Sus scrofa: one gene and its partners. The protein of the gene in region 2 interacts with the protein of the main gene of each other region in a biochemical or structural test. Links are inferred from orthologs where the notes say so. Each region holds a gene or a part of one and is shown on either strand. Other genes may lie near its edges.

What was found.
Region 1: the proteins of CASP8 (region 2) and DEDD form a complex in vitro, tested with the Homo sapiens proteins (2 studies listed by BioGRID). The link is inferred for Sus scrofa from reciprocal best matches to the Homo sapiens genes CASP8 and DEDD.
Region 3: of the proteins of CASP8 (region 2) and BCAP31, one has a biochemical effect on the other in vitro, tested with the Homo sapiens proteins (2 studies listed by BioGRID, with this or other methods). The link is inferred for Sus scrofa from reciprocal best matches to the Homo sapiens genes CASP8 and BCAP31.

Annotation. Positions count from the first base shown.
Region 1 is NC_010446.5:89,316,323-89,322,071, forward strand, and holds part of DEDD (death effector domain-containing protein), read left to right. Parts: intron 1-4,018; 5' UTR 4,019-4,082; coding exon 4,083-4,407; intron 4,408-4,607; coding exon 4,608-4,715; intron 4,716-5,026; coding exon 5,027-5,173; intron 5,174-5,749. UniProt on the Homo sapiens protein: A scaffold protein that directs CASP3 to certain substrates and facilitates their ordered degradation during apoptosis. May also play a role in mediating CASP3 cleavage of KRT18. Regulates degradation of intermediate filaments during apoptosis.
Region 2 is NC_010457.5:104,927,841-104,933,589, forward strand, and holds part of CASP8 (caspase-8), read left to right. Parts: intron 1-4,035; 5' UTR 4,036-4,068; coding exon 4,069-4,373; intron 4,374-5,749. UniProt on the Homo sapiens protein: Thiol protease that plays a key role in programmed cell death by acting as a molecular switch for apoptosis, necroptosis and pyroptosis, and is required to prevent tissue damage during embryonic development and adulthood.
Region 3 is NC_010461.5:124,455,773-124,460,234, forward strand, and holds the end of BCAP31 (B-cell receptor-associated protein 31), read right to left. Parts: intron 4,454-4,462; coding exon 4,318-4,453; intron 3,490-4,317; coding exon 3,366-3,489; exon of another isoform or gene 2,707-3,365; coding exon 2,384-2,706; 3' UTR 1,571-2,383; coding exon of another isoform or gene 1,532-1,570; 3' UTR 1,227-1,531; downstream 1-1,226. UniProt on the Homo sapiens protein: Functions as a chaperone protein. Is one of the most abundant endoplasmic reticulum (ER) proteins.

The DNA of each region.
Region 1 (5,749 bases), on a different chromosome or scaffold from region 2:
TCCACTGCGCCACGACGGGAACTCCCTTATGTGTTTTTTTTTAACTGGTATTGCTTGTGGTGATCTCATGGAGATTCAGTTCAGTTCAACAACAGGTTGCTCCTACTACATGCCAGCCTCCATCCAGTGCTAGGCACTAGAGATATAAAGATGAATATGAACTAATCTCTTTACATGAGCCACTTAAAATCTAATAGGATAATACACAAATAATTTTAGTACGCTTTTTAAATGTTTTAAGGGAAATACAGACAGTGTTCCATAGGCGTACAGAAGACGACTTATCCCAGCATGGGGGTGTAGAGAATGAATTTGAAGATGGCATCTGAGCTGATTCTTAAAGGATGAGTAGGAGTTAGCCATCTGAAAAAGGGTGGTGATGGGGGATGTGGAAGAGAAGGGAGAGGGGCATTAAGGCAGAGGGAATAGTCTGAAGAAAGTTGCAGAGAAATGAACTGCATGATGTATGTGAACTACAAACAAACCGATAATGTTAGAGAATAAAAAGTTATGAGGTGGGCAAAGCAGGCAAGACCTGTTCTTGGAAGGCTGGTGTGTTGTGTAAGGAGTTTGGAGTGTTCTCATAGGTAAGGAGGGAACTCTAGGTAGGTCTTAAGCTGAAAAATGGTGTAGTCATTTCGAGGCCAGGGATTGAACCTGTGCCTCAGCAGTAGCCAGAGCCATGTCAGTGTAAATGCTGGATTCTTAACCTGCTGAGCCACCAGTGAACTCCACTTATGCATTTTAGGTAGTTAATTCAGCTGGATGTGGGGGATGGATTTAAGCAGGTTCAGATTGGTGGTAGGGAGAACCCTTAAAGAGTAATCCATGTAAGAAGGAGTTCCCGTCATGGCACAGAGGAAGCAAATCCGACTAGGAACCATGAGGTTGCAGGTTTGATCCCTAGCCTCGCTCAGTGGGTTAAGGATCTGGCATTGCCATGAACTGTGGTGTAGGTTATAGATGAGGCTTGGATCTGATGTGGCTGTGGTGTAGGTCGGCAGCAACAACTCCAATTAGACCCCTAGCCTGGGAACCTCCATATGCCATGACTGTGGCCCTAAAAAGCAAAAAAAAAAAAGTAATCCTGGTGAGAGATTATTGGGACTTGAACCAGGCTGGTGGTAGTAGAAGTGGAAAGGTGAGGTAGATTTAAGAAATATGTAGGAGTAGCATCAACAGGAATTTTAATTGGGAGTTCCCATTGTGGCTCAGTGGGTTAAGAACCTGACAGAGTATCTGTGAGGATGTTGGTTCAATCCCTGGTCTCGCTCAGTGGGTTAAGGATCTAGTGTTGCCACAAGCTGTGGCATAGGCCACAGGTGTGATTCGGATCCAGCGTTGCTGTGGCTGTGCTGTAGGCCAGCTGCTGCAGCTCCAATTCAGCCCCTACCCCAGGAGCTTTCATGTGGCTCAGGTGTGGCCGTAAAAAGAAAAAAAAAAAAAAAAAGCCCAGGAATTTATAATTGATTGGTGATTGAAGCTTGTGGTCAGAAGGTGGAGCAGTATTGGGAGGTACTCTCTGGTGGGGCAGTAAATATGGAGTGGCTGGAGTGGAGGTGAAGGTTGTTGGACTTCAGGATTGGTTATTGGCTGGGTCACTGACATTGCTTAAGGTGATGGGGGAAATTTGTGACTCAAATGCCAAAATAATATAATAAATATAAGATTATGATTGATCATTGACAGGGGATTGGTAAATGACAATCATGAGGAAAGGTTAGAAGATGGCATATCCAAATGGTGTGTGAATATCAGGGGAGTAGAGATGGCATAGGAGAATTACAAGAATGTTCAACATAGGAGCTTAGTAATGTTTGTTGATTTAAATCCATGAGCTTTGGTGGATATTTGATGAACTTTCTGAGCAGTTATTTCTCTGGACTTGATTGTAGGAACAATGAGGGTACGTTTTTGGCGGGATGAATCTGGGCTGCAGAGGCCAAAGGATGCTTATCTCATTGAAATTGCCTAATCATTTAGAGGAGGTTTGGAGTGGTTTCACATGCATTTTCTCGTAGGATTCTTAACAATTCTGAGTAGTTTCTTTCAATCCCTGTTTTGCAGATGGAGGCAATGAGACTTTTGAGCTGACTTGCCTAAGGTTACACAGTTACACAGTTTGTTAGTTGAAGGCAGAATTGAAGCTTGTTCTAACCCCAAAGATTTTCAGTTTTCCTGCTTTCAGTCCCCAAGTTCATCTGATGGAGCTTCTATATTAGAATTAAGAGTGAATTCTTGGGGAGTTCCTGTTGTGGCGCAGTGGTTAACGAATCCAACTAGGAACCATGAGGTTGCGGGTTCGGTCCCTGCCCTTGCTCAGTGGGTTGATGATCCGGCGTTGCTGTGAGCTGTGGTGTAGGTTGCAGACGCAGCTCAGATCCCGCGTTGCTGTGGCTCTGGCATAGGCCAGTGGCTACAGCTCCAATTCGACCCCTAGCCCGGGAACCTCCATATGCCGCGGGAACGGCCCAAGAAATAGCTAAAAAGACAGAAAAAAAAAGGGGGGGGTGAATTCTCTACTTTCCAATTTCGCCTATATTTAAGAGATGGGGAGTTCTCTTTGTGGTTCAGTGGGTTAAGGACCTTATGTTGTCTCTGTGAGGGTGCAGGTTTGATCCCTGGCCTACTCATTAGGTTAAGGATCTGGCATTGCCGCAAGTTGCAGCATAGGTGGCAGATGCGACTGGGATCTGGCATTGCTGTGGCTGTGATGTAGGCCGGCAACTGCAGCTCCGATTTGACCCCTAGCTTGGGAACTTCCTTACACCATGGGTACGGCCACAAAGAAGAGAAAAAATAAAATTAGAAGAGATGGCTTGGAGTTTCCCTTGTGGCTCAGAGGTAACAAATCCAACTAGTATCCATGAGGATAGGGATTTGATCCCTGGCCTCACTCAGTGGGTTAAGGATCTGGTGTTGCTGTGAGCTGTGGTGTAGGTCACAGATGTGGCTTGGATTCCACGTTGTTGTGGCTGTGGTGTAGGCTGGCAGCTGCAGCTTTGTCAGCCCCTAGCCTGGGAACCTCCATATGCCATGGATGAGGCCCCAAAAAGACAAAAAAAAAAAAAAAAAAAAAAAAAAAAAAGGAGAGAAATGGCTTTGATTGGGTGCTGTCAGGGAGCACATAGGGACCAAAAGCAGTATTTTGGAGGCCAGAGGAACAATCAGGGTAACATTTAAAAGCAACTTCTGCTGAATACGGAGCACTAAGATTGCAATGAGGGAGTTCCCGTCGTGGCGCAGTGGTTAACGAATCCGACTAGGAACCATGAGGTTGCGGGTTCGGTCCCTGCCCTTGCTCAGTGGGTTGACGATCCGGCGTTGCTGTGAGCTGTGGTGTAGGTTGCAGAGGCAGCTCGGATCCCGCGTTGCTGTGGCTCTGGCGTAGGCCAGTGGCTACAGCTCCGATTAGACCCCTAGCCTGGGAACCTCCATGTGCCTCGGGAGCAGCCCAAGAAATAGCAAAAAAGACCAAAAAAAAAAAAAAAAAAATAAGATTGCAATGAAAAGTCTCACTTAGTGGAAGTGACTCTTTCTCTAGTAGGATCTGGACTTAGGGCAGCATCTGTTGGATATGTTGAGTTCTAGGCTTTATTTTTTATTCATTTTTTTGTCTTTTTGCCTTTTCTAGGGTCGCTCCTACGGCATATGGAGGTTCCCAGGCTAGGGGTCTAATCAGAGCTGTAGCTGCCAGCCTACGCCAGAACCATAGCAATGCCAGATCCGAGCCGTGTCTGTGACCTACACCACAGCTCACAGCAATGCCGGATGCTTAACCCACTGAGCAAGGCCAGGGATTCAACCTGCAACCTCATGGTTCCTAGTAGGATTCATTAGCCACTGAGCCACGAAGGGAACTCCTAGGCTTTATTTTTTAATAAACACTTTGTAAAAGTTAATAAACACTAAAGCATTACATTGTGCCAGGCATGGGTTAGGCTCTGGGAACAACAGGAATGGATAAGACTAGTTCCCGATATTAAATGGCTCACAGGTTCTCTCCTTGTCCTTACAGTATAGTGGGGATTGTGGCTGCTGAGCAGGGATTCTGGAAAGCTTTGTGCACCTGAGCCCCCAGCATGGCGGGCCTAAAGCGGCGGGCAAGCCAGGTGTGGCCAGAAGAGCACGGTGAGCAGGAGCATGGGCTGTACAGCCTGCACCGCATGTTTGACATCGTGGGCACCCATCTGACACACAGAGATGTGCGAGTTCTTTCCTTCCTCTTTGTTGATGTCATTGATGACCACGAACGTGGCCTCATCCGAAATGGACGTGACTTCTTATTGGCGCTGGAGCGCCAGGGCCGCTGTGATGAGAGTAACTTTCGCCAGGTGCTGCAGCTGCTGCGCATCATCACTCGCCATGACCTGCTGCCCTACGTCACCCTCAAGAGGAGACGGGCTGGTGAGGGTGCACTGGGGGCTGGGGACACTCGAATCAGGGAAGAGTTGTGGGAGGCCAGGAGTGAACAGCATAGTCCAAGCAGGAGGAGGTACTGACCCTGGGGATTACCAAGGAGAATAAGTTATGAGGCCCACTGGAGAGTTGGACTAGGAGAAAGGAAGGGTGTATCTTTTTCTGAGTGAGCCTCTCTCTCCCTACAGTGTGCCCTGATCTCGTAGACAAGTATCTGGAGGAGACATCAGTTCGCTATGTGACACCCAGAACCCTCAGTGATCCAGAACCGAGGCCTCCCCACCCCCCTAAAACAGGTGAGCAGATAGTAATTCCCCCTAATTTCCATCATCAACAAGGAAGACACTGGACCCATCATTTTTTCAGCTTTGCCAGCCTAAGTGAAAGGACACTGTCCCCTCCCCCCACATCTGGCCCCATAAAAATCAGATGGGGGTGTTAATGCTTCACTAGTCCTTTACTTATTCCCACATATCCACCTTTCAGGTAATATTATTGATACTCCTTTAAGTGCTAAGTCGAAACGATTCTTTCTTCATTCCAAGTGAAGTGTTTGAATTTCTGCTTTTACCCTACTGAGTCTTCTCCCTTTTTACCCTCTGGTCAGTGCCTCCCCACTATCCTGTGGTGTGCTGCCCCACTTCGGGCCCTCAGATGTGTAGCAAGCGGCCAGCTCGAGGGAGAGCCACACTTGGGAGCCAGCGAAAACGCCGGAAGTCAGTGACACCAGATCCCAAGGAAAAGCAGACATGTGGTAAGGAAGTTCAAGGATTCCAGAGGTGGAGTGAACTTGAGGGGAAATACAGAGAACTGCCAGGATGCTGGGCAGTGTTTATGCTATTCAGTGCAAGGCTTGCTTTGCTTGCAGTTGCAAAGTAAGGTTGAGTGGTATAGTCTCTGGGAGGAGAATTCCTCTATCTTTGTGGCAGAGTATATTTCAATTTTTTCTGGGTAATACTAGATGAAAGGGATGCCATTATGACATCCTTATTGTAGGATGACCCAAATCATGATAGGGTATTAAAGTGAACTTCTGTGTTTGTTAATTAGGAAAATATCTTCTAGAATCAGGTGCTACTTGTGAGTGATGGAAATAATCTGGGCATGGCCCATTTAAGGGAACCTCTCTGAGTTAAGGCAAGGATTTCAGAGATACATAAAAAAGAACTAGTCCTCATTGTGAGTCAGCTATACTAAAAAAAAAAAAAATTAAAAATTAAAAAAAAAAAAGAACTAGTCCTGGGGAGAGGTAGAAAAGCTGTCAGTTGGTGTTCCCAACTTCGCTACTCTGCTGTTCTTTTCCACCTTTCAAACTTGGGTGTAAACTCAG
Region 2 (5,749 bases):
TGTATTATATAGTACAAATATCTTTATATGGACTTATTATTGAGATATATAATTTAAAGTGAAAGAAAACTTTTGGAGGCCTTTCCATTCCTGCCTGTCTCCTCCTCCTTATACATTATGTATCAAAATATTCAAAGTTTTATGTTCTGCATATGTAGATATGTGCATATTTTATGCATATATATATGAATATGTGAATAAAATTGGAAAAAAAACACCAGGTGTCACCCCCAGATTATTTCTTTTTTTTTTTAAAATATTTAAAATATTTTATTTCACCATTTTTTGCTTACATGAATATTAAAGATAGGACTGATTTAATTCTTACATTTAACATTCTATACAAGAGGTGTTTTTCCCCTATGGACCCCCAGATTATTTCTAAATGGCAAGTTTCTAGGTGGCTTTTCCTTTTCTGTTTAAAGTTCTCCAAGGAACATGTTACTTTTACTGTTTTAGGAAGGAGATAAATATAACAATGAATATTCTTTTAAAAATATTACTCTAACAAAGTTTCTAAGTCATGAGCTCATGCGGTAAACTTAGATCCATAAAAAAGGAAGTGCCTTTTTGGTCCTTATACTGAGGCCAGAACCTAGAGGTGGCCCGTTGTTAACGGTGTAAAATCTAGCGCAGGTGCTCATTCTTCCCAGGCACTACGACCAGAGATGTGATCTAAACAAAGGCTGAATCCCATTCCGCAGTATGTTCCGGAAAGCCTGGGTCAGAAAAGAAGCCCCTCTAGCTTTTTTCACTAAGTGTCCACTTTAGTAAGATATAAAAAATCACTTCAAACTGCATGGCCAGGCTATAGCAAGAAAAATGATACAACTGAGGTGAACTGGCTACAGAGGATGGACACCAGTTATGTAATAGCCAATGATATCCTGGCCTTGGAAATATATATATATATAAATAAAATTAATACATGTATACATCTATCACATACTATCAGAAAATGCTATTGAATATATAACAAGAGCCTTAAGAAGCTTTATTCTTCTTGTCTCAGTAATACTATTTCTATTTATTCTATTTAATTAAATATGCTCTTGTCTCAGTATACTACTTCTATTTATTCTAAGTGATAATTCTGTTAACGTAATCAGAGGTATACATGGAGATTTGCATTGTAAAATCATCCTAGATATAATCAGAGACTGGTTAGATAAATATTGTCCATTTGTATGATTACAATCTTACAGATTTTAAAATACATGTTGTAGAAAAAATAAAGACATAAAGATGTGTTTATTATCAGAGGAAAAATCCACTTGCCTCTCAGAAATATGGTGTGTTCAAATATGAGGGAACATATAGGTACATAAAATATTTGTTAAGAGAGATAGTAAGATATTAGGTATTTATCTTTGGATGATGGAATTATAGGCAATTTTTATTCACCTGTTTATCTTTTCTATATTTTCTAAAATGAATACAAGAAGCATTTTTAGCATTAGAAAAAAATAATTCTGCTGTCATTTGATTCTTTGGTTAATTTTATTCCATAAAACAATGTTTTAACAGTGGTTAGAGCCAGTTAAAAATGGAAGGACACTGGATTTAAAGGTAGTAAACAGAGCTGGGCCCAGTTCAGATTATTTCTAGGTTCATATATTGGAATAAAAATATGTCTTTACTTAGAGGTTTTAATTTAAGTACATATGCATTTAGGATAAATAATACATGCAAATGGTACACCTTCACGATGTGCAAAGGGTGTAGAATGAACAGCAAGTCTCTTTCTTGTCCACCCCGGGGCCTCCTCCAACCCTACTCCACCCCCAGGCCTTTAGTTCCTCTCCTCTGAGGCAGCCACTCTAGCAGCTTCCTGTGTGTTTTCATCAAAGATCTGTGAATACGATTGGATGTACTTTCTGAGTTAGGTTTGTTTCTTTCCAGAATTTCCTTATCTTATTGTTTTCTGCTCATGTGTATATATGTGTGTCTGTAATGACAGAAAGTCTCATTGTTTTATCTGTTTCTAAAAAATAAAAAACAGATGCATAATTTTTTTTGGTTATATTGCAACTCACTTTTTTCATTGTCATAATAACCTGTCTTGAATATCTATCCAGTTTTATTTCAGAAGATGGGGTGCATTTTCTTAGCTGTTGCATAATGTTCTGTAGTATGATTAGGTTTTTAGCCATTTCTTTATTGGAGGATATTTGGAATGTTTCTAATTGTTCAAGGTTATATCATGCTGTGGTGGGAGTCCACGTACAAACCCTGTTGAGCACACGTGTGTTTCCATTGAGTGCGATTTAAGGAATGAACTTGCTAGTTGGTTCCCTTGAATATCCAGGAGTTTTCGTTTGTTGTTTTTTGGTTTTTTTTTTGGTCTTTTTGCCTTTTCTAGGGGCTCACCCGCAGCATATGGAGGTTCCCAGGCTAGGGGTCTAATCAGAGCTGTAGACACGGACCTAAACCAGAGCCACAGCAATGCGGGATCTGAGCCGCATCTGCAACCTATACCACAGCTCACAGCAACGCCAGATCCTTAACCCACTGATCAAGGCCAGGGATCGAACCCACAACCTCATGGTTCCTAGTCAGATTCATTAACCACTGCACCGCAACGGGAACTCCTTGTTTGTGGTACTTTGAACACATGCTTTTAGTTGCTGGCTGCACATTTAAGATACCTTTCCTAAATAAAAATATTTTCATGATAATTGGTTGCTTTTGTAGTACATGATGTAGGCTCTGCAGGCTTCATGAATCTAGTGTAAACCAAAATGTATATTTCCAAGACACTGTCCTTCTGCTTTCCTAACCAAGAAAACTTGTCTAAATAATAATGTCGGTTAAAAAGGAGAAAAACGTTTTGCCCATAACTCCAAGAAGGAAATAATCAAAGATATGTACAGGATACATGAAAAAACCTCTCAATGCAATATTATTTTTAATAGTAAAGAAATGGAAAATTGCTTAAAATAAATTTTGATATCTCCACATGGTGGAAATTAAGAAACACTAAAAACATGCCCAAAAAGAATATTTATGGTAGGATAAATGTTCATTCTAAATACTAAGTGGGTAAAAACAAAAACAAAAACAAAACCCAGGTGTACATAGTTGGATGTGCAATCCGACTCTAATTTTTATATAAATGCACCTTTGTGTGTATGTGTGTGTGTGGGGGGTATATAATAATGATAACTGTGACAATTTTGTAATTTATTATATTTTCAATTTTCACCAAAATAACCCCCAGCATTCTATAATCAGGATTGGAGGAAATTGAAGTGTAATTGATTTACAATATTATATAAATTTCTGCTATATAGCAAAGCGATTTAGTGATATATGTATATATTATATATGTGCACACACACACACTCCTTTTAAAAAATATTCTCTTCCATTATGGGTGATCATAGGACATTGACTATAGTCCTCTGTGCTGTGCAGCAGGGGCTTGTTGATCATCCCCTTCATGTGTAGTCGCTTATGTCTGCGAACCTCAACCTCCTACTCCATCCCTCCAAAGATGTTTCAAAAAAAAACACCAAGACTAAAAGCATCAAAGTCTTTTGCACCATTTAAAAAAGTACATTAAAATTTACCTTTATGCTTTCATTTTAACATCAAATTTACGGAATACATGGGTCCTGGCTCACTTGATCACCACCTCAAGTGACAGTCAGAATTTGTGGTTTCATCCAAGAAAATCAGCAAAGGCATGAAGCTTAAAAAGTCAGGAGCCTTAGAGTTCCCATCATGGCACAGCGGAAATGAATCCGACTAGGAACCATGAGGTTGCGGGTTCAATCCCTGGCCTCGCTCAGTGGGTTAAGGATCCGGCGTTGCTGTGAGCTGTGGTGTAGGTTGCAGACGCAGCTCGGATCTGGTGTTGCTGTGGCTCTGGTGTAGGCTGGCAGCTACAGCTCTGATTCGACCCCTAGCCTGGGAACCTCCATATGCCACTGGTGCGGCCTTAAAAAAACAAACGCGCTTGCGCACACACACACACAACAGTAAGTGGTAGTTTTCTTCCTCATCTGAACATAACAATGCGTTTTGACCTAGGTTACAACTACATCCTCCTAACGCTTGAGCAGCATGAATTTCAACAGATGTCTCTATAATATTGGGGAACATTTGGACAGTGATGACCTGGCTTCCCTCAAGTTCCTGAGCCTGGACTACATCCCACATAGGAAGCAGGAACCCATCAAAGATGCTCTGATGTTATTCCAGAGGCTCCAAGAAAAGAGAATGTTGGAGGAAAGCAACTTGTCCTTCTTGAAGGAACTGCTTTTCCGAATGAATAGACTGGATCTTCTGATCAATTACCTGGAAACCAATGAGGAGGAGATGGAGAGTGAGCTTCGGATACCAGGCAGGGCCCAGATCTCTGCCTACAGGTGGGGAGAACGTCCATGGTGTGGACCTGGGAGGTGGGGGTCGAATGAACATATCTTTAGGGGCCTGGCTGAGGCTGTGTGCAGGCTGTGTGTGTGGTGTGACTTTGAACACTGCAAAGATGTCCCATCAGGGCCACAGGAAGAAATTTGGAGGGAGTTTCTGTGGTGGCATATTGGTAACGAACCCAACTAGTATCCATGAGGATGTGGGTTCAATTCCTGGCCTTGCTCAGTGGGTTAAGGATCTGGCATTACCGTGAGCTGTGGTGTAGGTCACAGACGCTGCTCCGATCCCTTGCTGCTGTGACTGTGGTGTAGGCCGGCAGCTGCAGCTCTGATTTGACCCCTAACCCAGGAAGTTCCATAGGCCATGGGTGCGGCCCTGAAAAAAAAGGAAAAATAAATTTCCATGTTCTTTTAATGATACCAGTCACTGGATTAGGGCCATCCTAATCTGCTGTGACCTCATCTTAACAAGATTACATTCACGGAGACTCTTTTTCCAAATGAAGTCACATTTACACATACCAGGTGGACATGAATTTGGAAGGAGAGTGGGGAAGGTTATTATTCAATCCAGGGTAACTTTGGTTTAATAGAATTGTACAGTCCTTATAATGAAAATCTTTTCATTAAGGCACCAACTAATCATAAAAAACAATGGCTCCATAATTAGGAAAGCTGGAGGGTCTCGTCTTGGTCTTCTGAAGGTGGCACTCCTGCCATGTGAGCAAGGCCAAGGCAAACTGCCAAAGCAGAGGACATGGGCCTCTGTTAGAGGGTTAAGAGACTCTAACAAGGGCAGGAGCTGTCTGTTAAAATCTTCAAGACAGAACACTAAACCAACTATAATGGAAAAAGTAAAAATCATTAAAAAAAAATCTTTGACATGTTAGCTTGGGAGCAAAAGGGTCAGCACAGATACAATCTACTGCTTGTTCAACATTGTTGAATATTTTCCAGGAAATGAGAAATATGCTAGTGTGACCATTTTCCAGTTATAAGAAAACACTAGACAATTAAAATTTCAAAGTATCAGAGTTCCCGTTGTGGCTCAGCAGTAACAAACTGACTAGGACCCATGAGGATGCAGGTTTGATCCCTGGCCTCACTCAATGTGTTAAGGATCTGGTGGTGTTGTGAGCTATGGTGTAGGTCACAGACAAGGCTCGGATCCCACATGGCTGTGGCTGTGGCTGTGACTGGCAACTGTAGCTCCAAGTTCGACCCCTAGCCTGGGAACTTCCATAAACTGCAGGTTTGGCATTAAAAAATTTTTTTTCAAATTATCGTTGCTACCTATAAAATCATTACCTTATAAACCATCCAGGTTTCTTTCTGGACAATGATGGTACAGAAATGTCAGCAGATGTCAG
Region 3 (4,462 bases), on a different chromosome or scaffold from region 2:
GCGGCCTGCCAGTCTAGGCTTTGCACCTTCAAGAGTCTGCTGAGCCTCTGCCGCTGTCTCTTCCGGCCCCCGGCCAGACAGGGTGTTCCAGAAGTGGCCTGGGGCCGCTTTTTCCCCTCCGCCCAGGCCGAGGCCTGACACCGACGGGGTTCAGGGGGACTCGGGGCTGGCCAGAGAAGAACCTGCAGGCAGTCTGGACTTTGGCCCGCAGAGGTTCAGGGAAGGGAGAGCTTGGGGAGGCCGAGGTAGTCGGGGAACACTTCCTGGAAAAGTGGGACTAGCCCTCAGCCTCAGCATAGCAACCGGCAGACACCACCCAGTAGGCAGCCCAGAAAGGGGCGGCACCCCTCGTGAGAACGTGGGCAAAGGACACTGGCGAAGGGAGCCCTCAGCCTGCAGCTGGCAGGAGGGGCAGCACGCACAGCTGACTGTCAGCACCACCGCCATCCCCAGGAACCCCCCAACTCTACACGAACACCTCCAACCTGGTCCCCAGCCCCCGGCCCCGTCCTCAAGGCCCCCCGACCCAGGCCGGTCTAGGGGGCCGCCCAGGGGGAGGCTGTGAGCAGGGAGCGCACCTACACGTTTAAGAGGCTACAGGCGGCGGGGGTGGGGGGGCGGCCTTGACCCCGTCTGGAGGCCCTCTCCACAGCCTAGCTCTGCCCTGGGCCAGTCGTAGGTCACTGCCAAGGGCGAGTCTCCTCTCCTAGCCAGCATTAGTCAGAGGTCATCCTGTAAAACCTTCGGGGGGGGGGCAGGGAGTGACTGGTGGCGCTCTGCCACGTTCTATCTGTCCTAAATGTGATGAACGGGACCCAGAGGAGACAGGCGAGCCTGCCACCCGGAAGCGCCACTGGTTCACCGGGTCTCCCAAGCTCCCCCGGGCCCAGCGGCCAACCCCCAGGGAGACGGAAAGGACAGACCCGCCCCATGGAGCTGTAACGCGGGGCCTGGCAGGGGAGCAGGAGGCAGAGGGGCAGAGAGGCCAAGGGCGAGCCTGTGCCTAGCCTGAGATGAGGGACGCTTCTGGGGTCAGAGCAAATGGGGACAAAACACGGCCCTCCAGAGCCAAGACTGGGGCGGGGGTCCTCCGTCAGAGCTGCCGGCCGCCGCCTCCCGGCCACTGCGGGGAGAGGGAGCACAAGGCGGCCTCCTCGCGGCCCCAGTCTCTCTCTCTCTCTCACACACACACACACACACACACACACAAGCACACACGCACCACGAACACATCACAACAACCTTTATTGCCCCGAGAAACCTCTACTCTTCCTGCTCCATCTGCCTTCCTGCAGGACCAGAGAAAGGGGGCCTTGGAGGCGCGAACAGCAACACGTAACACAAAGGGGCTCAATCCAGCGGAAAGCAAGCCCTGCTCATCCTGGACGGGAACTGGGTCCCCTACAGAATGCTGGGGGCGCGTGGAACTGCAAGCAGCGCGGGGAAACAGCAGCGGAGGGGAGCGAGCCGAAGTGCCGAGGGAGGCTGGGCTCTCGCGAAGCAGCCAGCCACGGGCAGGGAACAGGGGCCCTCACTCCTCCTTCTTGTCCGTGGGGCCATCTACCGCCGCCTGCAAAGGGGACAGAAATTGCAAAGCAGTGGGTTGGCAGGGTGCCCTCCTCCCCTTCGCCTTCCAGCCCCGCCACCCTACAGGGAGGCCCAGCAGGGTGCGCCTTTCCCCAAATGCCAGGTAGCCAGGTGAGCGAGGGACCCCACCCTCAGCGGCACCCCACGGCCTGCCAGGGTAGGAATGGCCCCACTCCAGTGGGAGGGGGCACAGCTGGAAGCCTCCGCTGTCACTCTTTTCTTAGAGCCCCGCCCTCGCAGCAATACCTCCTGGGCCTCCCTCGCCCGCACCCTCGTCCCCAGGGCACCTCGGCATTTGAGTCCCTTCCAAGTCCCAGTTCAGGCTCTTTCCGACTCTGCACACCTTGCACAGGTCCCGCTGGGGAGCCTGCCCTGCGCTGAAGCTGTCAGCTCCTCTCCGCCCTCCATGGTGCCCAAACTTGGGCCACCAGGCACCAAGGCGAGCTGTCAGAACCTAGGGGTGTCTATCTGCTGGGCCCTCACGCCCCATTTCCAGGCCACCCAAGCTTCCGGATGCAGGTAGTCTGAGGGGCCTGGCGGTGTAGGTGGAGGCTGTGACCAGCAGCGCAGCCTGGAGCTCTCTGCCCCACCTCACCCCACAGCCCCCACAGCCCCCACAGCGGGAAGCCAGCAGCCGGGGCTGGCGTTTCCCCTGCGGTGTACGCGGGACGAGAACTGTACCCAAGGAAAGGAGCTTTGCTCAAGGGGGCACTGATGCTGGGCACGAGGCTAGGGCCCAGCTACCAAGGCCACCTTCGTTAGCAGCTGCCCCCTACCAGGCCACAAGCCCTCCTGCTCAAGAAAGCGTTCCGGCTGTTGGACCCAGACTGGCACCAGACTCAGCAGCAAGAGGGAAAAGGGGGACTGGGGGAGAGAGCAAGCAGCCAGCCCGCTGCCGAGGCCTCTCCCAGGGACAGGTCCGCCCCGAGGCAGAGAGAATGGGCAGCCAGCTCTGCGCCCGCTCGGGGGGTGGGGCAGGGTCCCGTTCCAACAGGGCAGGCGGCGGCGGCGTGCTGACCTGCAGCTTTGTGTGCTCCTCCAACAGGCGGTCGTACTCCTTGGTGAGGCCCTCCGACTGCTTCCGCATGGCCAGAGCCTCGTTTTCAGCCTTCTCCAGCTCTGTGGACAATGCGAGCAGTGAAAGGGAGGAACGTTCAAAGATTAGGATTAGGGGAAAAGGAACCTTTGCTGGAGAGAGCAGGTGCAGCCACCCCCAATCTGTCCCCAGCCAGGGTGCCTGGGAGACCACTCTGCTCAAGAAAGCTGCCTTGAGAGCCTCCAAAAGTGGCAGAGGGCTGGCCGACAAGGCTGTGGCAAGCGGGAAAACATGGAGGATCCCCGCCAGCCCCTGTAACGGACATGCCTCTCAGCAGGGGGTGGGATCGCAGGGAAGCTGCCGGCCTGGGACAAACGCTGCGGAAATGCCCAGGTCAGAGGAGGAGGCACCTCTGACTGAGGCTCTCCTTCCCCACCCCGCCAGGCCCCTGGCGACGGGGCACAACGCCACTCCTCGCCGGGCGCTGCATGGGACACTCTGGACGTGGCCTCTGGGGCTCCCCGGTGGGGACCCTGCCTGCACCGAGGAACCACTAAGCCCCACCGGCTGGGGCTGAGCCCGGCTGCACTGGGGCTGGCCGAGCAGGGGCCATCTGCTTGTTTCCACCCCGCTCCTGGCCCCTGCGTGTCTCTCATTGATACTTCGGCATGAGAAGTGCGGCAGCCACTGGCACAGGCTCCAGACTTCTGGGGGCCGGGCGTGACCCGAGGACAGTGCTCACTCTGCTTGCTGACGGCCAGCTCTTCCTTCAGCCTCTTCAGCTCAGCCTTCAGGCTCCTGTTCTCTTCCTCCACCTTCCCTCCTGCGTCGCCGCCATCTAACTTGACTCCGCCCACAGCAGCTTCCTGGGAAGAGCGCCAAGGGCGGGGTTACTGGGGGGGGAGGCGGAGGGGGGAGGAAGGGGAGGGGAGGGGGGGCTCCAGCTCTGTCTTCGGCCTTGGCCTCGCAGGGATTCCTCAAGCGGCCCTGGGCACTTGCCCCTTCGGAAATGTCAGCGCAGAACTGGGCCACTGCTTATTTCCAGCCACCAGGCAAAGCCCAGGGCCAGCAGGGCCACCTGCTGCAGCTCGGAGGCCACACGCCCTGCCTCCTTTCTCAGCAGCTCTTCGGAGTTTACCAGTCCATCCAGTGACTCAATCCGCTGTCATCTGGGGATTTCTGCCAGTCGCCCCCAATTGACCATTGCCCTCCCTGCCCCTCTCCAAGCTTCACAGCTCCCTCCGGCCAAAGGGCCCTGAACTCGCCCCTACCCGTCCAAGTCTATCCTGCCTACGAATCCAAGGCCATCCGTCTCCTTCCCAGCTTGGCTCACACCTCACCTCCTGCGACAAGCCTTCTAGGACTGCCCCGCCTCGTCCCCGGCTGATAGCAATCCTTCTCTGGTGTTCTTCTGTGCTAACTTGCCCAATGTTCACAGCCCAGGGCGCAGCTCGTTAAGGAGTCATTAGTTTTACGAGGGAAGAGTCTGGCCTGGATGCAGTGGGTAGAGGCGAGAGCAGCAAGGGTGCCCCCTTTCTGAGTCCCTCAGACGCCTCCGCCCATTCACCCAGCTCCTCCATTTTTCCAACAACAGCGGTATCACACGTTTCCCAGCCTGAGAGGCTAACAGTAGCCACTGTGGCCCATAAAGAATGTCGCATGGGGGACGGGCAGTTAGGGAAGGCCAAACCCACCTTCTTCAGCTGGTCGTTCTCTTCCATGTACTTCTTGGCTGCTTCACTAGCGCTCTCTGCCTGCTTTTTAAAGGCTTCATTGGAGGCCAGCAGCGTGGCCTGCTGGGAGATGAGAGTTACCAGGCGTCTAAGCAGGCTGGAAATG